2 linked regions of the Coturnix japonica genome follow. The protein of the gene in region 1 purifies or fractionates together with the protein of each later gene. This does not show direct contact. Links are inferred from orthologs where the notes say so. Each region holds a gene or a part of one and is shown on either strand. Other genes may lie near its edges. The genes, in order: NCAPD3 and SMC4.

Region 1 (11,455 bases):
TCTGAACTCCCTCGGGTTTGGTAGAGGCCAGATGGCACAGTTGAGAAGCGTGCACACATCATTGTGTGGTTGGATCACTTGCCTTAGGAGAAAAAAAAAGAAGCCAAACTAGAAATCAGAGTGACAGAACGTGCTGAATGGGAGCGATTCATTTAATTTCTGTTTTAATTTCTTTTTGGCAGGCTATGACCGTGCAGCCTTGGATGCAAACACAAACAGTGCCAGTTTGATGCTCAGTGAAGAAGGTGCGGAGTCATTCTCTTATGATAAGTCTCAGGCTTTTCTTGGCGTGCTGCTTTCTAAAAATATGTGTATCCATAAAACGTGGGACATGTGTGCAGCTCTCTATTTAATGGTGAATCACGTGGAGTGAATGTATGCTCAGTTCTTAAGCTTTTAACTTTTCTTCCAGCTACGTCCAACCATCCGCTGAAGACCTTACCAAGCTTCAAAACGATTGAGCTGACAAACAGCAGCAGTGCTGCCATGGTGAATGGTATGTCACAGTTACAGCAGCCTTTCAGATAGCTCTTCAGAACTTCGATTACAATTATGTTTTCTGAATCTTGTTCGCTGACCATTTCTCAAAGAGCAGAGAGATCTTTCTGGAGAGCTGTTAAAAAACACAGGTGGTGAAGGGGTGGAAGTGCTTGCTGTATGGAAATGCCATTTCCACTTAAATTTGGGAAATACATTTAATTGTGAAATGCTGGTGTTCATTTGTATTAATGTGGTAGCAATACTCATTGCAAAGCAGATAATTTATACTTTCCCAAAAGGATGCTAATTGATGTGGGATGCAGTACTTGTAGCTCCATAGATTTAAGGGTAATTAAACCTCTTGCTTCAGTGCACAAAGAATGGATGTATTTTTGCTGCATAAAACACAGCACCTTTGACTGGCACTGTTATGCAGGGAAGCATTTAATTCTCAGCAGCACCAGGTATTGGCTGATGTTAAAAGCAAAGTGGGAGGTTAAATGGACTGATTTGCAACGTCAGTGTGCTAGATCTGATTCCTTAATGGCATGAAATCAGCACAAAAGTTGGCTTTCGTGGCTGTGATATTTCATTGAATCTCTTCCTCTTCAATGTGGAGTCCTCACATTTAGGCCTCTGTCTGTGTCTTCGCTCTCAGTTGTTGCTATTCACCTCTCTTGAACTGCTGACAATTCAATTTACTGCTTAGCTCGCATCCTGCCTCTGTGTCTTTGTTACACTTCTCATGCTGCTCTTCATGTGGGATCCCTCCATATCTTCATGAACCAGGCTCCTATCTTCTCTATTGAAAGCTTTCTTTCAAAACATTTTGCTGATAAATTTCATTAATCTGCTCTCTAAGATAGAATATCCTCAGGCCACTGAAGGTATTGTGTATTCCCTGTTCAGTTGCAGGCTCTGTGTGGCAGAGGATGCCTGGTTTTGTTATCTGATACACCAGCTGAGCCGCTTGGCACTTGGCAAAACAAATTAAGCAAAGGATTGGATCAAAAAGGGCTGTCTGAGGCTCAAGAGGATAGCTAAAAAACAGGCTTCTCAGAGCCAGTCAAGGTGCATTAGCAAAGCTGTCTGGCACACACTTGTTTGGCTTCTGCCTGTGCTAATTTTGCACTTCTATGAAGACCAAACAGCTTGTCTTTTAGAAGCAAAATAAATCTTTGCTGAGGATATTCAGAACTTGCAAAATGCACAAGGGCAAAGATAAGACTGGTAGGGATAATCTGCAGGGTGAAGTATACTCTATAGAGTATGCAGTGCCTGTCAGCCTATAAACACTCTATTCCCTTGCTAGTTTCTCTTGCTAGTTCTCAGCCATTTAGATCTCAGGGCTTGTTTGTTTTTTTCCCTATGCCACTATGCATAGAAATCCATGACAGTTGGCCAAGGTTGATCACTTTAGCAGATTTGGTTACCTTTGCAATAGCAGCATGACTGTTCTCTTGGCAGTGTCTTGCAAAGAAAAGGTTGTGTGCTTTTTCTGTCAAGCTATTCTCAGGAGAAAGACTCAGTTGCAGTTACCTGCCTACTAAGAAAGCACTAGTCATGCAGATTGAAATCCCTTAGCTTCATTTGATTAAAAAAAGCCTACTTTTAGACCCTATATTTATTGGTTCCCAATGACTAATTGTTTCTCTTAATGGAAACATGGTAGATCTCCAGATGAATCTCTCAAAGTAACAGGTTTCTGTATTTGCAAGTTCAAAATGTCCTTAGGAAAACTTAATTTCCAGCTTTGAAGGCAGCCTGATACCTTTTATATACAGAAATAAAAGAACTGGGAGTTACAGATTATTCCTTTTTGCTCTGTGTATGAAATGATTTGGTATATCACCAGATTTTGTGTTATGTCCTATGATTTATTTTCAAGATAGAAGAACTTTGGGTTTTTCTTCCCCTTGTCAGAATGGCAGCTGCAAAGGAGAACCCACATTCTTTCAGTTAGTTGTTGTTGTGCTTTCAGCCCTCATCTCTTGCTCCTGAAAACCTTGGGCAACAAACTGAGCTCTGCAAAGCATACAGAGGAGGTCTGGGTGGGTGTTATAACTTCTTTTTATCCTGGGTTTGGATAGGAAAAGAAATCATGGCCCTGCTGAGGCTGAGAGCTGGAGATGAGAAAACCACTGTGAGGAAATCTGCTCTCCAGGTATGGTGTTCTTTGCATGATTTCTTGTTCTGCATGATTACACAGAATGCCATTGGAACAAATAATTGAGCTGTAGTACTGCAGTGAACTGTATGTAAGTTTGCCCAGCTGTAGCTTCTTGCTATTCCCACCGAGTGCATTCAGTCCTTAAAAAGGTCATTTTTGCTAGTTCTTGATAAGTAAATAATGCAAGGAAGAAATAACATTCTAGTACTCTTTTGCTGGCATTCACTTATTCCATCATTTAGAGAAAGAGCCTCTTTCCAAATGTCAATAGGTATTTAACTTAAGCGACTTCCTTACAAACTGGGGCATAAGAGGTGCTTTGTTTCTACCTTGTTAGCAAGAGTTTGGGCTATATCTGGCATCATTTTGAGGGATGCACTGCTTTTCTGCTTGCTTCATTTTAATTAATTAAGTCATGAACTTTGAAAGGTATCTTCTTCAATGTGAATTTCACTGTTTTATAGGATACGGATCTGTTGTTGACTGCCTTTCTCCCTGTTAGTCCTCTTTCCCTTAGTTCTTCCCCTCCAGGATAAATCAGGATGAGAACACCTCAGGTTAAGGGTTTCTGACTGTTTTGTTGTGAGGTTTTCAATTCTTTTCCCTCTTATTGGCAGGTGAAAGATGTAGGTCATAACAAGAGAAACATTGGCTTCAAGGGGGAGTTGTGGCATTGACTCAATGCAGAATTCTCTTATAAAATCTGAAGGACTGAGAAGTTCTCTTAGCATTCTGTATCAAGTTCTGCCCGGTACTTAGAAATTACTAATGTTATGTTTCCCTTTCATTGCGATACATTCTATTCCCTGTTGACTTAAATTAGGGATTGATCTATTTCTGATTAATTTCCCCATGCATCCTGGCTCGTATTCCCGATGAACTCATGCTGTTTTTTGACCTGCAGGTTTTTACAAACATCCTGAAGCACAAAGCAATCCCTTGCACTGCAGAAGATTTGTCCACTCTTCAGGACCGTTGCCGGGACCCCGCAGTCTCTGTGCGGAAACAGGCCTTGCAGTCTGTGACAGAACTCCTCGAGGTGAGGAAATGAACAACACCAATTCTTATGGCTGAAATGTTGGTTTAAGAGGATGAGGGCACAGCAAATCACTTATGACTGTGCTCTTTATTTGTTTTAATCATCTCTTGACTTGCAATCAGTGACTTGCACATACTTGCCATTTATGTGGGATGCTTTCAACTGCTGGAAATGCTTTTCTTTTCCCTGCCTGTTGGTTTTATGTGTCATGGAAGGGATGTTTATGTTGCTGTCCTTCTGAAATTTGAGAACCTGAATCATTTTGCTGTGATACAGCATGTTCATGATGCCACTGTAATGTTTTTCCTTCTCTTCTATTTATTCTCAAAGGTTTGGTAACTTAGTCATGGAGCATAAGGTTTGTATTAATCAAAACCCTCTTGTTTTAGTCTTAAATCATCTGCATTACAGTTTTATTGCAATACTCTCATAATTATTTATAGAGTTTCAAAACAAACTATTGCATTGCTTTAGCCCAGGTAGTTTGGTCAGAGTACTGTACTTTCTGCTGTCAGTTGAGCAGTGAGCTAATTGTAACTTATTTTACAAGTTAACAAATGAATCTCAAGGTTTCTAGGCTTTCGTTGGTCTTATCTGTGCTTGTAGGACCACATCATAACTAAAGGAGATGTTTCTAATACAGTGTGTTTCTCTCAGGTCCAGCACGATGATGTCCTGGTGCACAAGGCTTGGTTGACTGGAGTTGTGCCTGTTGTAATGGACTCTGAAACTTCTGTTCAAGAAAAGGCCTTGGAATGCCTTGATCAGGTTTTGTTGCAGCACATAAAGCATTACAGTAAATTCAGGAGGGAAGACAAGAAGCAGGTGCTGGCATGGGATCTCCTTACGCTGCTGACTTCGGAAAGCCAGGAGCTGAGGTAAATGTGGCTGTCCTTCATTGTGGGCTCTTCTGGTGTTTCCAAAACACTCCTTTGTCCAGTGCACTGGATCTCTTTGTTGCCTTTATTATCTTGGCATTCGTGGACAAAATCCAGATTATTTTATTAAACTTCTAATAGGATTAAAACATGCAGCTTTTCCTTTACGGTAGGAAATGGCTTAGTGACCGGAGGACTAAGATACAAGCATGGGCTTATGTTCTCAGCTTTCCCATCCTCTGTGTGACCACAGAACAATAAGTGCCACAGTTGAAATGCATGTACCACCTATTGCACAGGGGCAAAAAACTGAATGTATTGGGTGTTTTTTTAAGCTATTTGAACTCTCTGCTCAAAGCAGACAATGAAAGCACACATTGCTCTAGAGATGGCAGCTGTCATGCTGTGAGCTGCCTGTGTTGCTCTGCCAGTTCGTAGGACAGAGGAGCTGTCAAACATATACACCAGCAGTTGGTGAGAAGAGCACAGTTTTGTTTTGTGTTGAGTGTTTTGATTTGCTCTTCTTGTTACCTGTGCAGTCTCTCCAAACCCTGGTGTTCATACACAGGAATGTCACTTGCTGTTCTTGATGCGCTGGTAGCAGCATGAATGTTAAATGGAGGTGTTGTGATGACAGAAGTAAGAGAGGCTATAGGAAGGGAGAAGATCTTATTATTTCTGGTGTACAATATGTTACTTGTCTTATGACAAATAGAATGATTCTGCCTTTTGCAGAATGTTGTGGGATGAAGCAGAAGAAATGGGCTAATACAGTATGACAAGGACGCAACATTGATTAAAGCCGGCTGTATGTTTATTAGTCAACAGGGCATAATAGCTCAGAAATAGAAAATGAGATACTGGTTGTGCTGCCTTGCAATCTGTAAAACTGTCAGTGTTCTAATTTGGGCTGTTTTATGACACAGTTTGAAGATTCATGGCACCTTTACTTGGTGACCTCGAAGTACCTTGCAGCTTGATATATCTCAGAATAAATCTGTCCATGTGAAATGGGTAGCTAGAGTTAAACAGAAGGATGCAACCAGTGCTGTCCCATTAAGGATGTTAAATAGAAACTGCTATTGTCTTTTTGAAACTGTCTTTGGTACAAATCTTTGGTTGTTGTTGAAGTATCTTCTGGGCTTGTTCTGATTCAGGTTCCTCTGTCTGACAGACACGTTAACTCCAGGTCTGTAGTGCATCAGGACTGATCAGCACTGCAGCCATCTGAACTCTAACAGAAAGAGTGACCAACAATAAAACACATAGCAGAAATCCTATCTACTCTGGGTAGAAGGCAGGTGAAGTCATAGCACCCCTGTTCTTCACAGCATGTTCTGGGCAGATGTTGGATTTTGCTAGTGGTCTCCACGACCCCAGGAGTTTTGTTTGCTCCTTGTTTATCATGCTTTCTTTTCTTTCTTCCTTGTAGCTGTTATATGAACAAAGCTTTTCATATTTGGTCCCGGCAGAAAAAATTCTCTTCTACTTTCATCAATAACGTGATGTCTCACGTGGAAACAGAGCATGCTGTACCAGCTTGGATGTTGCTTGCTAAGGTGGCAAGTTCTTCACCCAAGCTGGATTATTCCAAGGTCATCGAATCCTGGTACACTGTCAGCAGGTATGTGTGCTTTGACCTCCTCTATTCTACTGGGAAGAGATGGAGGTGAGGATGAGGAAGTGAGCCCTATCTGTCCTTCCATAGACATAGTGCTGCTTAGATCACCATTCTTTAGTCAGGCAACGACGTTCTGTAGCTAGGAAGTAAGCAATAACCCACAGATTTGTGCAGCCATCAAGTCTTACATTGAGCTTTTTGAGTTTTCATTTGGTTTGATGAGTCTGCCTTGATAGAGCGTAGCCAAGATGCGTGGATTTTTCTGCTGTGGTTGGTGGTTTTCCGAAGCATAAATTTTAGCTTGTCTGCTCTGCTGTTTTCCAGGCAACAGAACACGAGCAATGATTCTACAGGACATATACTGTCTGTTGTCAGTCATGTTGCAAAGCACCTCCCTAAAAGCAGCTGTGAGAGACTGATTGGTGAGTGGCCCTGAGAAACTGCAGAGTAGAAAGTACAGTTTGGTTTTATCTCCTAGCTAAGGGTTATTCTCTGTGAGTGGTTGCTTGGCCGACCAAATCCCCATGCTATGTGTGTCATCTCCTTTTCAGATAACATCAAGCACTGGCTGAAGGAGTTTCAGTGTCCCCTGGAGGTGATTAGCCCAGCTGTGGAGTCACTGCAGAAGCTCTGCTGTGCGTATGCAGGTGACCCAAAGGCACAGGTGCGACTTAAAATACTCCTTTTAAAATAGTTTGTTTCATGTGTATACGGACTGACTCTTGAAGGCAGCTTCTGTCTCCAGTCTGTTGCTTGATTGTCTCACTGAGCACAGAGGATCCAGCTCCAGCCACTAAAGTCTGTTGACTTACTGCATTCCTAAATGAGACCTGCACTATCAGCTATTTCTGAGGGTTGGTCCATTAGAAGCTATAAGCTTTCACTATAAGCTCAGGCTATTTTACACCAGAGCTGGTGCTAATGCATGTATTTTCAAGGCCTCTCTAATGGGCCCAAGCACACAGTTAGCAACACATTGTATGCATATAAGGATTTTCAAATTGGGGATTTATGTGTGCAGATGCTAAATGGAACTTAGCCATGATGTTAATAAAGTGCCTGATTAATTTTGTTTCATTGTGGAACAGAAACTGCTCAACCAAGTGTTTGGAGACTTAATATCCACTTGTGAAAGTTATATTTCAAATATAGTTCTCAAAGAGGACGGAGCAGAGCAGTTGCAAGAAGATCTCTTGGTAAGTTTGGTTCCCTTTTGTGGGCTGGGCAAAGGATGTGAATTTTCTCCAAATGAGGGGGCTGTTAAGTTCATGGCAGTAATGGTTACACAGGAAAGTCCTGCTGACTTAAGGCTGTGGCTGAGCTGCAGATTTAGTCTGCAGCGTTGCTTTTTCTTTCTATAGGTGAGGCACCTCTTCCTCTTGGGTGAGGCTGCTCAGCTGTGTCCAGCCAAAGTGGAGAAACGCATCTTTCTTTTGATCCAGTCCATTCTGGCTTCTGATCAACGTGAGGCTCTTTCCCTTCTGCCTTTAATTCTCCTTTTATCAACAGTGCTGTTACCCAAAAAGCACTTTTTCTTTCCTGACCCATTCTTTCTTAGTGTCTAATCCTCCTGATGATGAGGAAATACCGGCTTCTCAGCCACTGTCCCAGTTCAGAGGATCAGCCATGCCTCCTGTGATCAGAGCTCATGCATTCATCACTCTTGGTAAGCATCGTCCTGCAGCAAGAGTGCCCTTTATATCCAATTCCCACCCTTCCTGTCTGCTCTCTGCTTCATGTTCTACTCAAAGGCCACGTCAGCTCTAACAGATAGATGCAGCACTCAGTGTTTTGTTTCGCTTCTTAGCAATGCAAATATCCATGGTAACAAGTTGCACAAACCATAGAAGTCTATGAGACTGTTTTTCAAGTCTGTTGATGCATTTTTCCTATATAGTACTCTTCAGGCATATGCTGTCCTTGTACTCAGAATTGGTTGCTGTCTAGCTGAGTGATCTTCTAATTTGTAGTAGGGTGCTCAACAGAGGATGAAGAAAACCTGGTGCTTTCGGTGCAGCGTAGAGCAGAATTTCTGTACGTAGTTACTTGTTCTCCTTAGTATGAATGACTGGGCTTCTTTGTGATAGAACCCTGATCAAATCTGCAACTCCAGTATAAACAAGTGTGCTAAGTGAAACTTTGGGTATTGTAGCCCCACTGTATATATGAGCAAATCTTATATCTGTTGCAGATAGAATCATTCTTTCATTAACTGCTTTGGGAACCTTAATATTTCTTGTACCGAGCTGAGAAACAGTTAGGAAGAAGTAATGTTAGAATGCAGGCTATTTTATTTTCAGTTGGTTTAGTAATGTTCCTAGAGGTGGGTGTCTCCCTGTGATGCCTATGACAGCTGGGGCTGTTCTTTTTAGCTGCTTTGAATAATACCCCGTACACAGGAATAGTTCACTGTGAAGGAGGGAGTTTGGCATAGAGGCCCACAGTATAGGTCTAAAAAGAGTTTGGAAGAACTCCTTGAAGTATAATTTCTTTGAGAGGTGGTGCAGATTGCTCATCAAGTTTCAGCATATGTTTCTTGTTTATTCACCTGTTTACTACCCGATTCTTCTCTTGGCTCATCCTGGGCTCAGAGCTGTGGTGGTTAGGAATATATTCACAGCGCTGACAGTCTCATCTCTATTTCACAGGTAAACTGTGTTTGCAGCATGAGGATCTGGCAAAGAAGTGCATTGCAGCTCTAGCTCGAGAGCTGGAGGTGTCACACGACGTGGCTGTTCGCAATAACGTCGTCATTGTTATGTGTGACCTTTGTATCCGCTACACCACCATGGTGGACAGATACATCCCCAACATTTCCTTGTGCCTGAAGGACCCATATCCCTTCATTCGGAAGCAGACATTGATTATGATTACCAACCTTCTGCAGGTAAACAGAAGTCCCCTTCTGTTGTACTAAGCACTGACCGAGAGCTTATTGCTTACAACTTGATTCTGGAGCATAGCTGTAATGTTTCTTAACTTATGAAGGCTTCAAACATGCATTTTGTTACTATTTCTCAAGGTGGGCAAACATTGATGATGCTCAGCACAGCTGGATAACAAGATTATTTTTATTCAGTGGTTCTCTTATCTTGGTTTCTGTGAATCCCCTTCCATTTTGCTCCTATATGAATGAATGTACTAAGCACCACAGCACCTTTTCCCTCCACATCTGCTTATTGTTTTAAAGTTGTGGAAGTGGAGAGGCTGACAATATTTGCCCCTCCGGTGTTCACGTGAAGCCAAACAAAGCAGATTTGGAGTGTGTTTGGCTCTCACAACAGCGTTGAGGAGCATCTGTGCCTTTGGCACTGGAAAGCAGATTTTTCTTGATTCTGCTTTTTTATTGGTGAACCTGGATGCTGTGTGCTTATTCTGCTTCAAGCATCTCCTAGAACTGTCTTTTTGAGGTTTATTTTCTGTACATAGTGGTGAAGTTGTATAGCTTGTTTATTTTTCGATGTATGTTCTGGCAGGCTCCATCAGATACTGCCCTGGCTGCTCTGTGAAGCCTCATGTGAGGTTTTTCCTTGTTCCTTACTTATCATCTGTCCTTTTCTTCTAGGAGGAGTTTGTGAAATGGAAGGACTGTCTCTTCTTCCGTTTCATTAGTGTCTTGGTGGATCCAAATCCAGATATTGCCAGGTAAAATACTCATCTGTAAAATACTGGAGGTGTTGAGGAGCACAGATGTACTCTGTTCTTTATGCTTGGCCTTTTTAAGCTTTCTGCCACATTCTGTAGTACTTTGACATAGCAGGAGAATCGCTCACACTGATCATAAGTACACATGCGTGAAGTTTTTTTGTGTTTCCAAGTCTGAAGCTGCTTTGCTTTAGGGGAAATGAGAGGCATTTTCCTCCAAGGATGGAAGGTTGTGATGATGCTGGGTGCCAATGAGACTTGGACAACTTTCTGCCTGGAACATCCAAACTTAAGTTTGGTCTTCCCAGGGCTGTCAACCCATCATTGCTTACAAGTTGCATATTCAAGCCTGCTCTTCTTTTTTTAATATGCAAAAATATCTTTCCAGTAGGTGGTGGCATTGCAGCATCTTGTTCCTTGAATTCTAGCTGTGGAACACGCTGCTATTTCATTGGTAGCCTTTTTCTTTGCATCTGCATTCAGAGGCTGTATCTACATAAAAAATACTTTCTTCAAGTCTGAGATTGACTTTCAGCTCCTGCCAGACTTCTGGTGATTAACTTTTTGCAGAAAGTGCTGTGTTTCAGGAGCTTCACTCATAAAGATAATGAAAATGCTGTGCCTGCATTCAAGTTAAATTTATTTCTGCCTCTGTTTCAATGGCAATAAGAGAGCAGTACTGCAGAGCTTAAGGTCAATAAGCTAGTATGTTGTTTAAGCCCAGATATAACTGGGCAGGTATTAAATGGGGGTGTTGAGGGAGACTCAGGAGTGGAGAACTCCTCCTGTACTGCCTGTGACCCTCTGCTGTGTTTCAGGGGTGACTTCTCTTTCCTTTCTAGTTTTGCAGAGTTCTGCTTGGTGCATCTCTTGCTGAAGAGGAATCCATTAATGTTCTCCCAGCACTTCATTGAGTGCATCTTCCATTTCAATAGCTACGAGAAGCATGAGAAGTACAACAGGTTCCCACAGAGCGAGAGGTCAGTTGAGCACGTTTCTACCTCCTTACTCCTGAATGGTGGCCACGCAGACTTTGGTTACAGAAAGCATTTGTGGTACTTCATATTGATGTATGCAGTAGGGGGAAAACAGCTCAAGGAGATGGTGTTAAATTAAGTGGGAGAATTTCTGCATGTAATTTGTGGGAGTGTGTGGTATCCTGGCACACTGATGGGTCTTGAAAGTGACATGCAGATATTCCTTGTTGATTTCAAGTCTTACTATTTTTGTGAGATGGCATAATGTGACTTAACCACGTAAAATGTCTTTCTCTACTACAGGGCGAAGAAGCTCTTCTCTCTGAAAGGAAAAGATAACGAAGAAAAAAGGATGTATATCTACAAGTTCCTACTGGACCACTTTACAGACGAGCAGAGGTTCAGCATTACAACAAAGATCAGCCACAGTGTCCTGGGTAGGGGCCACCTTCAGGAAAAAAAGATAATTAATCTGGCAGACAACTTGTGTCCATTTAAATAAACCCATAAGGCTGTGAGTCCTATGGTGTTACCTTTCTGTCTTTCCTGGCACTGTTTTTTCCTCTGAAGTGATTTTTACTTCTTCCCTGCCTGTTCCAGCATGCTTTGTAGATGGGGTCCTTCCATTGGACATGGAAGCCAGTG
Region 2 (11,455 bases), on another chromosome or scaffold:
GAAATGAGGATTTAAGGGTCTGTACAGAATCCAGCAGCACCATTGCACACCGGGCAGGAGCAAGTGGTGCCAGGTGAGCTTTGCTGGAATGAAGTAAAAGGAAACACTGAAGTTCCCTCGTGCAGACACAGCTGTGATGGTACTGAGGGAAAACCTGGAATCCCAAACTCGACAAGAACCTTCATGCTTAGAGGCTGAGCTGTGAGAAAACAGAACGAAAAGCCCTGCTGGGAGAAAACCCTGCCAGGACCAAATGATACAACATCTTACTGCCACCCACTGCTACTTGTAACGTCAACGATGCTTCACTGCAACACAGTAATTCCGTGGGGAAACTGGGGAGGTTCCACAGCCCCGGCCTCATCCAAGGAGCTGGGTGAGCACCCCCAGCCCTCAGGGTGGAAAGGAGGGAGGAGGAAAAGGGTGGGAGCCCACGGGGCACTGAGAGCAGTGATGCACTGAGTGATGCACGATGTGAGCCTCGGAACCTCTGGAATGTTTTCCACCATAACAACAACGATGGGTCAAGCAGTTACTACGAGGAATTTAAGACACGCAAAAAGGATGCTTAAGGGATAAGAGTTAATTTTACCCCTACGTTACATCCATTAAAATGTGCAACAGTTCTATTTATGTTTCAATCCTTTTCTCATGTTGGAATGTCCTTTCTTATTCCCTGAACCTGTGCTGCGATCCTCCCCACCCAGACACATCAGAGGGGCCTTCCAGCCCCGTCCCAGACCCAACTGTGTGCACGGCTCCCACCTGCCTCGTTCTCCTGCACCCAGCACAGCACAGCACCCCTCACCCCTCCGCCCCGCCGTGGCTCTCAGCCCACGGACCGTCCCCCGCCGCGCTCCGTCCGGCCGTGCCCGCCGCCCTCGGCATCCGCCCGCCCAGCGCCGCCCCTCCCACCTCCGGGCCCTCCGCCCGCGGCCGCCCCCTGCCCAGCTCTGCCTTTACCTGCGGCGGGGCGGCTCGTACAGCTCATACACCTCGTACAGCCCTTATAGCTCACACAGCTCGGTGCGGGGCCGTGTCTCCTTTGCCGTCTCTATGGCCACGTCCCGCGAGAAGCGCCCCCCCCCCCCGCAGGCAGCGCCGTGTGACATCGCGTCACCGCACCGCCCGTTAACGAGCGCTCATTTCAAAGCGAGCCCCGTTTTCACTTTATTTATACACGCGTTCAAACACTTTTTAAATGTTTTTCGTGGACTTTTTGTTTTCCTTTTTTTGTTTTGTATTTTTGGCGGAGCTCTCTGTCGTGCCGTCCCCCTGGGCGCCCAAGCGCCGCCCCCTGACCTAGTTCTGTACCGAAGGGATGAATCCCTTCCCGCAGTCGCTGCCGACCCGCAGCCCGTCCCTCCATCATCCCCGCACGGCCCCGCGCTCAGCGTTAACTCGCGTTACAGCCGCTCTATCCCCGCTCCATCCTCCCCTCACTCCCCGCCGCTCTAACGGCCGACAAGATGGCGCCCGGCGCGGCTTTTCCTCCTTTCAAACCCGCTCCCGCCCCGCCCCGCGCCGCCCCATCCTGCCCCGCGCCTTTCTAACGAATTTCGGTTCGATTTCGCCGTTTGGGCGCCATTTTCGAGTGTAGAACCCGCGGTGTGAGCGGTGTGAGCGGTACGAGCCGTGTGAGCCGTGCCCACCGCCGCCCGCGGGGCTCCGAGCCGCCCGTCCGCATTGAGCGCGGAGCTTCGGCACGGGGCGGCCGGGACTTACCCCATACGGCGGGACGGGCGGGCGGCACGAGGAGCAGAACGGAGCAGAGCGGAGCGGAGCTTCACCCCGTGCCAGAGGTGAGCGGTCGGGGCGGGGGGCGCCGCGTGGAGCCGCGTTGTTCCCTTCTCTCCCCGCCCTGAAGCAGCGCGAGGCGGCGGCCGCTCCTTCCCGGTCCCGCTGTCCGTGTGGCCGGGCCGTTCCCGGGCTGCTCTCGCCGCGCCCGCTCTGTGAGCTCCGCCCGCAGCTCTGACCCTCGCAGGGCGAGAGCCGAACCGTACGGAACGGGTACCCGGCGGGGGGTGAGGGGGGGAGCGGGCAGAGGGAGATTTTCTCGCTGACATCGGTTATCGCTGCCGAGGGGTTGCGATAAGGGCGGCTTCCTGCACGCCGCTGCCTCTCCCCCTCCCCGCGATGCCGGGCATGAGCCGCGCTGTGCTGCGCTAAAATACGGCCCGGTACCGGGACAGGCTGCGGCTGCCCCGGCACAGCCCTGTGGGACGGTCCGTAACGGCAGCACGGGCTGCGAGCGCTTCTAAACGAGTTCTCTTAGTTCTCTTAGTTCTCTTAGTTCTCTTTCTCGTTTTCCTCCCCTCCCCCATTATCCCAAATGAAGGACTCTCATGAGAGTGTGGGCTGGGGGTAGGTCTGCAAACGTCAAATGATTGGCACCAATTGTGAGATGACTTTCTAACCACGTCAGTTTTGTTTTATCTGCCTTGAAGTCAACTTTCTCGTGTCTGTTGCTCCACAAACCGCCTTCCCCACTTGCTGCGATTTAAACTCTTTGGAGTTTCCCTCCCTCCGCTCTCTTTCCCTTTGCCGTTCGGTGGGAGCCGTGTTGGATCAACGTGTGGACTAACGTGCGCTCCGTCCCTGCTCAATAGCTTTAACAGCAGCACGGGATGAAGGTATTTTCGCGTTGCTCTGCTGTTAGGTGCCGATTGCCGGCAGTCGGGGCTGCGCTGCGTCTCACCAAAGGAGCGTATTATTGAGGGGAGCTGTCGGAGGGTGAAACGCTCTGAACTACGCAGGTCTTTTTGTTTGTGTGTCCGTACGCTCAGCATGGAGAGCTGGGAGCAAAGCGTGTGTCGGGACTGAACGCTGCATGGACAGAGCGCGGACATGGGGCTCCCCGCTTGACTCCTGCCATCGTCGTTAACTCTTTGGCCCCTGGTGTCACCGCTGCTCTCCCCAATAGGGAGCTGGTGGCTCTGTGTGTGCCGGGGGGGTTGGAGCTTTGTGATCATTGAGGTCCCTTCCAACATGGGCCACTTTGTGAGTGTGCAAACCCCATCGGCGTCAGGAGGTGCACGGCTGTGTCTGCAGATCAGGGCGGGTCCGTTGTTTTTTGGGGCGATGCGTTTATTACTTTCAGCCGTAGTTTTTGTTTCAGCTTTGGGGGTTTTTTTTGTCTTCAAAACGCATCTGGTCTCTCGTTTCTGCGTTAGTTGGACTCGTAGGTGTATTCTGTAGGGGACTGGAGTTTAATGCAGAGTTGGTGGGGTTTTCTTGTTTATGTTAGAGTGAGATCCCTTCGGTAGTTCGATTGCTTGGAATTGCCGGGGAGCAGCCGAGATCATGGCGAGCAGGAGCACCAAAAACTCCACAGCAGCACAGCAGAAAGGCAGACAGCACGTAGAGGAGCACAACGGTGACATGCAAGTGGACAAACAAGACGACGGGCATCCTGGGGAAGGAGCAGCTGAAGGTAGGTGGGAGCACTGTGCTCCTGATGCCTTAAACCTGGTGCACAGAGCAGCAGAGCTCAGCTGGAGCTGCCGACTATTCCACATTGGACTCGCTCTGCTCTCGTCTAGAAAGGAAGGTTGAAAGCTCTGACTCCTGACGTGTTCAAACTGCTTTTAAAGTGGTTTGCAAAGAGTTAGCGCTGGGACTTGTGACCGAGTGTAAGTGCAAAAGCAATTAGTGAATTTTCTTCTAATAAAGCCTATTTCATGTCCCTGATCTGTACCGGGTGGTGGTACAAGAGCCAGGATTTTTCACACTTAGACGCAGCCAATGCTCTGAGATTTCTTGGAATGGAATAAATGTCACGTTTATTTGTTTAACTCTTAAAACGATTGGACTTTCCTTTTCATGAAGCAGAGCATTGTCTTGTGGTTCTGGGGTTGAGTTTTTGCTGAGAGTATCTGCAAAAAGAGCAGCGTGTGTCTTTTAGGGTAACGAGACAGGAACGACTGAAAGCTCACAGCACAGATATTTGACAAATGGATTGATAAACTGAAATTGGTGTCAAAACCTCCTGTCTGTGTGAGGGAAAAGCTGCTGGTAACTGTTGAAAAGCTGCTTTGCTTGTAACGAGCAGATATCCAGGGGGCCAGTTTGTTTTCGTAACAAACTTCCTGTCTTTGCAGAGCAGTCGTGCTGTCATTACAGCTTTAGAGCATTGTGCAGCGAGCCCCAAATCTTGCGGAGTGACTTGTGAGCACGCTTGAAATGTGGCTTTGCACTTATTAATTAGGAAGACTTTGCCTGTTTCAGATTTGTAGCCTTATTGTGACGGCTGTAGCTATTGTAATTGCGGAGTGCCTATTAAAGTGTGTTAGAATAAGGATTGCATAATGAAAGAACAAACCCACTGGTGAATCGATGGGACGTCTTAAGTGTCTCTTTTTTAAAGATTCAGTTCGTGGAAAGAAGGATTTTAATTCCACTTAACTCCTTTTAATAACTGCAGAAGTGTAGCTTTGGTTATTATGGAAATGATGTCTGCTTTTGAAATGGAGCACTGTAAAAGGTGTTTGGTCATTGAGTGCTTATGGCCTTAATTTTCTTTCTGCTTATTTTGGATGGTTTTTAGAAGTCTCAAACGAGGAGTCTGATAATCGGAGTTTAGAAGAGATTTTGGGTAGCATCCCTCCTCCCCCTCCTCCAGCAATGACCAATGAAGCTGGTGCTCCTCGTCTCATGATAACTCACATTGTAAACCAGAACTTCAAATCCTATGCAGGGCAGCAAACTCTGGGACCTTTTCATAAGGTAATTTTCTTATCCCTTAAGCGCTCTCTAAGTGCAGGTAAGGCTTTGCTGTGCGCTGGTGGCCCTTCCTGTAGTTTCACATAACCTCACCTCAGAAAAGCTGAGCAATATTGAGGTCTGAGAATTGTTTTGGTGGCGATGTCCTTCCTTTTAGTTGCTGAGCAGTAGGAAAACAGCAAAGTGCAAATTCTTGATTGTGTACAATTGTAATTTGTCAGAAAGCCTGTGAAAAAGGACATTGCTGCCTTGATTTCGTTTGCTGGGGAATTTGGAGGAGCACGTTTGAAGAATGAGAATGTTTTTAGTGCCCACAAGGGATTTACGTGGCTAATCATGAAACTTTCCTTGCGAACTTGCTTGCTAAGAGCAGTATCGCTTTGAGTTCACAAGTTATGATTTAGAAAGCTGAGCTGAGTGGAGGTGTTGTTCTCTTAAATAAGCTGTGCTGCTCTGCCTTTGGTTGTGAAGATTAAGCTACCAAATGAGCTGCAGTTTCCTGCACTAGAAGTAATTCTGTTTGGAACTATGTACAAATGCAGTGGGTGATGTGCACAGCCCAGGATCTATTTCCCTCCACCCGACACCTTTTTTCCTTCTGTTCTGCAGCGTTTTTCATGCATTATTGGGCCCAATGGCAGTGGGAAATCCAATGTCATTGATGCGATGCTTTTTGTGTTTGGGTATCGAGCACAGAAAATCAGATCCAAAAAACTGTCTGTGTTGATCCATAAATCTGAGGAACATATGGACATCCAGAGCTGTTCTGTGGAAATCCACTTCCAAAAGATCATTGACAAGGTATGTATCCATGTATCCTGCTCTGCAGAGCGGCGCTTGCTTTATTCAAGCGTTTGACAACTTAATATTCGATTAGTTTGAGCTGGGGAAGGCGTGGTGGCAAGGTTTACCCTTGGGATGTAAAGCACCAATTTGAAGTTAATTAGCTTAAAAATGCTCCTCTCAGTAGTGCAGCTCTTACAATATGAGCAGGGGCTCGTGGGCTGCTCTGTGAGAGCAGTGTCTGCTGTGCAGTGTTTTGGAGCTGCTCACACTCACCTAACTGTCATTTTCAGAAGTCGTTGTACATTTGTTGGTTCTTTGCCCTCAAGTAAATAAAGCTTATTTCTGAAATTAACAGCACCTCGAATCACTTCTGAGGCTACATTCGGATGTGTTATATATGTGTGCATTTATAATATGAGCATATGGATTCAGGTGTAAAAACTATTGGAGTAAAAGCTTCCAAACCAATTAGAAGCTATTTTAAAAAATTCATTAAATATAAAACCAATCTGGAACACTTAATGGACAATAAATGGGCCTGCAATTCAAAAGCAGGTTTTCAATAGAATTTCTGGGTTTTACACCCTCTGGCTGATATCGTGTTTGAATGAAATAGAAAGTGCTGACAACGCTGGAAAAAAAAATGCAATAAAATTGTGTTGCTTGTCATTTCATGTATGGGTACAAACGTCTGGGCTGTGCTGTTGACTTATTGCCATTCCAGTACTAGAAATTGATTTTACTTTATTTAAATAGAATTTCTGTGAGCATTTAGTCTGGCTGAAGTGCCTCACTGAATGTCAGGTTAGTCAGTATGGTGGGAAAGGTGTACACCAAAGCATCAGAACCTGTGCTAATGAGGGGACAGTCAGTTACAGACCTGCTTTAGGTCAATTTTCTTTGACTCGATCTGCACAGACCTGTGCTTTTTGCTTCTGTCTGTGTCAGCCACATTCAGGGATTATTTAGTTTTCTTTTTCTGCTGTTCTCTGTATGAGCACCTAGAAGCTGCATTTGTGATGTAAAAACCCTGTGAGTGTTACCTGGTCAGATGGTGCTCTGGGATGGGCCTGGCAAAGCAGAGGCCAGCTGAAGGCTTTACAAGGAGCAGGGCTCGGCTCTAACTGCTTACAATGAGTCCCAGCTTTACTGCAGTTGCTGCTTTTTAGTGAAGTCGAAGTGATGTTTTGAAGCTGATGACCTCATGTTTGTCACATCTTTAATATTTTGCTTTTTTATCTCCTGCAGTTTCTTTTTAGAACTACTCAGCAAAAAGCAGCTTTCTAGCACTATAAAGAGGGAGCTTAATTGCAGACAGTAGCAAATCATTCAAAGCTTCCTGATCTAAAATTGAAAGGGCAGGATACAACAGCCACTTTAAAGCTGAAGTAGGTCTTTTGTGATGTGCAGCCCTGGTAAAGAGAAGAAATTAAGTATTTTTAAAGCAAAAGCTGGTATTAGAGATGAGGGATGCAGCACATGAGGATCATGCAGATTTAGGCTTTTTCTTTTTTTTTGGTCTAGAGCTGAATTTTTTTTTTTTGAGGTGCACATCATTTAAGTGGATCCTGATTTAAAACCTTAACTGGTAAAATGGTGAAATGTGAGGTGAACCTACGAGATACTAATTGTATTTCTGGCTTTGTTTTTCCTCATAACAGGAAGGAGATGATTATGAAGTCATTCCTAACAGCAATTTTTGTGTATCTAGAACTGCCTTTAGAGATAATTCTTCAGTATACCACATCAATGGAAAGAAGTCAACATTCAAAGATGTTGGTATTCTTCTGCGAAGTCACGGAATCGACCTGGACCATAACAGATTCTTGATTTTACAGGTTGGTGTGTGAATAAAACCTGTTTTTATTAAAGCTGTATTTCCAGGTGTAGTTACCAAAATGCTGTTTAGTTGTGAGGCCTTAAAGTACTCTAGCAGCACATCATGGTTTGCATGCTGTAGTGAAGATGCGAATCATTATTTGCTGCTTTAGAAATTTAAGGAAGATAAACAGTTGAAGACACTAATATAAATTTTTCTGTTAATGAATCAGTGCTCCTGACATGTGGATGAATAGAAGAGTTGTGATACTTGTTCCGCCCTAGCAGCACGTAAATATTGGTGTAGTAAAATAAACCTTAAACCCCAATATTATTGTGCTGCTTAAGCGTGGCAGAGATTCAGCAACTTGTTTATACTTTAGATAAAGGTGCATCAATATTAACTTAATGATACTACTATTAAGTTATCTACAGTTCTCATCTATAGACGTGGTTTTACTGCAGAAGTATGTATATTAAAAATAACTGTATAAAATTGAAGGCAAGAAAAAACCCATTTACTTCTCATTTACACTCGTTTAACAACTGCAGGGGACTCAAAGCACAGCAGGTTTGTAGCCAATTCAAGGTGCATATTAAAAAGCTGCAGTTTTTACAGCTCATGCTATAAAAATAATAGAGTCTGTGAATATGATATCATTTCTTCTCACATTGGGGTTTAAAGTTCTAAAGCTTGCTGGTGTGTGCTGGCTGTGTAAAACACAGACAGGCTGAAGGCAAACACACTTTTCTAGTGCTTAAATAAAAATGGAGGATTTTACTCGTGCCAGCCAGTCACTTTAGATGTGAACTGAGTTAAAGTACTTGATGGACACACTTAAAGGGTCCATGGGGTACACACATCTGCAATTACCCATAATTATTTCACTGCTATTACAAGAATGTCACAAATCTGTTCTGAAGGATTTTGGCCTAGAAAATGAGTGAGCAGTGGAAGCCTCCTGAGATCTGACAGTTTGCAACAGAGATGATTTTAAGACTGTTTTTGTCAAAGGAGCTTCCAGTTCCCCTCTAACACAAAAAGGCAAATATTTGAGATAGGTAGCTGTGTTTGCTTCACTTCCTCAAGTCTGCTTCTTACAGTTACACCCACAAAAAGAGGATATATCTGTTTTTGAAGTATTTGTGCCAATTAATTATTCCATTCAGCACTTTCTTCTTGTGTTTTTTGGTTTTCAAGTGAGAAGTATCTCCAATAAAACTATTGGTAATATATATTAGTTATAATAAAGTTGTTATTCAGAAAAATCATTTTAGGAACATTGTTAAAAAGAGAAAAACTGCAGTCAAATATGGTAGAAATGATGGTGCAGAAGCATCCCAAGCTGAGTGCTGCAGTGCCCTTCTGCTCTGGGAGGGGAAGGCAGCGTTTCACAGGGACTGCTGCTAAATGGCTGTTTTAGTTTTTACTTTTCTCCCCAAATGTGGTTTGTTTTCTTCTTCTATTAATTGTTTCCCATGGGGAGGACATACTTGTTCCTAAAAGCTCGAGTTTCATGCTTTTCATCTGTATAATGGGAAATCAGGGCTGATACGAGTGATGTTAAGACACAAAGTGATGCTTCCCACCATTTTTTTTATCCTTTCTTTGCTCTGAACTTTGTGGATAATGTGTTACAATGAACTGTAAGGAAACTCCAGAGAGATTTTCTGTTTATTTGGTGTGACTCCTTGAGCATGTGGCTGTGTGATTTTTATTATTATTAAATAATCTATTTTTTAAGTGAATTCTATTCATCAGGCAATGGAAAACTAGTAATTTCCATCTGGAAAATGTGACTATTTCTGCACAGTGACAGAAAAACATCGAAGCCCAAGTAGTAAAAATGATAGAAGTAAACAAGGCCATACCAGGAAGCCAAGGCTGCCTGCTGCTATCACAGGGATTGCCCCTTTTCCCTACTCCTTTTCAAATTACATTATTTCCAGTCTGAGCAATAAGTGACAGTTCTATTTCACTTTTGCTTCTCTCAAGTTGTATTTTTTGAGCATATTGAGCTCAAATAATTTCACTTTGAAAATAAATCGCACCTCTTTGGTTTTTGACTTTCGTTTGGGTGTAATTAACATACATTTGTTATCAAATGCTGTTTTCAGTCTGTGAGAAAGCATTCTCTAACACTAAAGGAAATGCTGTAAGAGAACAAGTCCTATAAGTAGCACTCTGAGATACTTGGTTAGTGCCCTGCTGCCACACTTAGCATTATTCAATAGCAAATACTTGCATTTCAGAAGGCTGCTTTCTTTTTGCTTTTCTTTCTTTTCTCCACCTTGCTCTGCAGTCTCTCACGTGGCTCACTGGGTGCATCTGGGTGCCACTCTGAAAGCTTGGGCCAGAACCATTTGTTCTGCGAGTTGAGTAGAGAGTGGAGCAGGTACTTGTGATGCCATCCTGAGAATCTTGGAATCAACCAGTTGATTTTGCTGAGTAACAGCACCAGAAATGCCTGTGGGAAAACAATGATATTGGGCAGTTCTAGAAATGTTAGAAATTCTGTGCCTGAATTAGTTAATTGGAAAAAAATCTTGTTTTAAAGGAATGGGTTTGGTTACTGTGTGTTGCTGCCAACAATTAACAGGAGGAGTTTGTCACTTCTGCAATGCTTAAGTTGTATTGCTGTGTATTTTGTTTTTAATAAATTGCTATATGCTTTTTAGCACTTAGGGAACAGAAAACTGTGTGGTGCACTGCTAATGAGGCTGCCACAGCCTGAAACTGCAACAGGAAAAAAAAATGCATCTTTGTTTTTTAAGTATGCTGAGCATTGTGCTAATATCTGTGATATCTGTCATCTTACTGCTATCGGTTCCTGCCTTCCACACTTGAGTAACTCGTTTATCTGTAAAGAAGAACAAATAAAATTATTAATTTAGCTTTTTTTTTTTTTTTTTTTTTTAATATTTGGAACATCAATGTCTATACACAGAAAGCTTGGGTAGGTTTGCCCAGCCAGGTTGAGCAGGGCTCTGAAGGTAAGTGTGTTTGCTGTTGCTCAATAGTGAGTCCTCTGAAGAGGCCAACCTCGAGGCCAGAAAGAAATCCCAGCCTCTCTCTTGTAGCTGGTTGTCCCTAAGGAATTATTAAACTAATGGGGAGAGATTGAGGGGATGTCAGTTAAGGACACCCATGGGGCAGGAGGTCTGGGGAGCGAAACAAACCAGACAGCAACTGCTACCACCTGCTGAAATTGGCTTTGTTATCTTTCAAGGTAAGAGGAGTTCAGTTAATATCAACTTTGTAAACAGAAAATGGAATTTTGCAAGCAGTGCCCATATGGATGAACATTGCAGAAACAATACTAAGAATTAGAAAACCTGAATTTGTTTTCTACTAAATAGAAGCAGACTTTTATGAACTGAAATCAACCTGAACCTGTTTTTTCAAACTATTTTTTCTTGTGCTGATTAGTGTTATTTAAATGTATTTGACAGACAATTAAAAATTTCTCATGTAATCTGATGCAAGTGTGAATAGCTGCAGTGATTTCATGTATGATTTTTTTTTATTTTTAAACTGATTGGGACAGCAGCATTTAATGCACAGATCGGTCTTGTCTTGTGGCAAGATTATGCTGCAGGAGAGGAAATTTAGTCAAGGTTTTCTCCTGCTGCTTTGTGGAAACATAGGAGTCACTCCTTCAGTGTGCAGGGAAGGAAGTGGGGGGGAGCAGATTTTCTTCTTGCTTTGAGATAAGCCAGAAGTTCCCGATGGTTGAGGGCTGCTCTCCTAATGAGGCACACCAACATCTGAGCTGGAGCATCCAAATAGAGCACGAGCTAAAAAAGCTCTACTGGGATTTATAAATGGAGATCAATGCTGCCAAAAGTGGTGAAGAGAGTTTTGTTCTAGAAATTTCAAGGGCAGCTGAGCTGAAGAGGTAGGAAGAATTAGAACCAGTGTAATCAACTAAAAGTGTCATTTGAATAAAATAGTATGTAAAAGTGGAAGCTTTACATTTGATTCAGAGTACAGAATCACTTCCTTGGTTAAAATACTTGATACTGAAGTGAATATGGAGCTGCAAGAGACATGCTAAGACTTCAGTACATGCGATTTCAAAGCGAATTCTTTGCTGTCAGAATTTCTTGGCAATTAATGTGATTTTTA

Evidence for each region.
Region 2: the proteins of NCAPD3 (region 1) and SMC4 purify together in Homo sapiens (co-immunoprecipitation; 3 studies listed by BioGRID and IntAct, with this or other methods). This does not show direct contact. The link is inferred for Coturnix japonica from reciprocal best matches to the Homo sapiens genes NCAPD3 and SMC4.

Annotation. Positions count from the first base shown.
Region 1 is NC_029539.1:2,123,673-2,135,127, reverse strand, and holds part of NCAPD3 (condensin-2 complex subunit D3), read left to right. Parts: intron 1-182; coding exon 183-245; intron 246-412; coding exon 413-496; intron 497-2,570; coding exon 2,571-2,644; intron 2,645-3,554; coding exon 3,555-3,689; intron 3,690-4,346; coding exon 4,347-4,567; intron 4,568-5,999; coding exon 6,000-6,191; intron 6,192-6,512; coding exon 6,513-6,610; intron 6,611-6,739; coding exon 6,740-6,852; intron 6,853-7,276; coding exon 7,277-7,384; intron 7,385-7,549; coding exon 7,550-7,652; intron 7,653-7,746; coding exon 7,747-7,854; intron 7,855-8,836; coding exon 8,837-9,075; intron 9,076-9,753; coding exon 9,754-9,833; intron 9,834-10,675; coding exon 10,676-10,813; intron 10,814-11,113; coding exon 11,114-11,247; intron 11,248-11,410; coding exon 11,411-11,455.
Region 2 is NC_029524.1:19,695,222-19,706,676, reverse strand, and holds the start of SMC4 (structural maintenance of chromosomes protein 4), read left to right. Parts: upstream 1-1,692; 5' UTR 1,693-1,802; exon of another isoform or gene 1,803-1,836; intron 1,837-1,898; exon of another isoform or gene 1,899-1,999; intron 2,000-2,271; exon of another isoform or gene 2,272-2,633; intron 2,634-3,247; 5' UTR 3,248-3,303; coding exon 3,304-3,433; intron 3,434-4,546; coding exon 4,547-4,725; intron 4,726-5,331; coding exon 5,332-5,523; intron 5,524-7,169; coding exon 7,170-7,346; intron 7,347-11,455. UniProt on the Homo sapiens protein: Central component of the condensin complex, a complex required for conversion of interphase chromatin into mitotic-like condense chromosomes.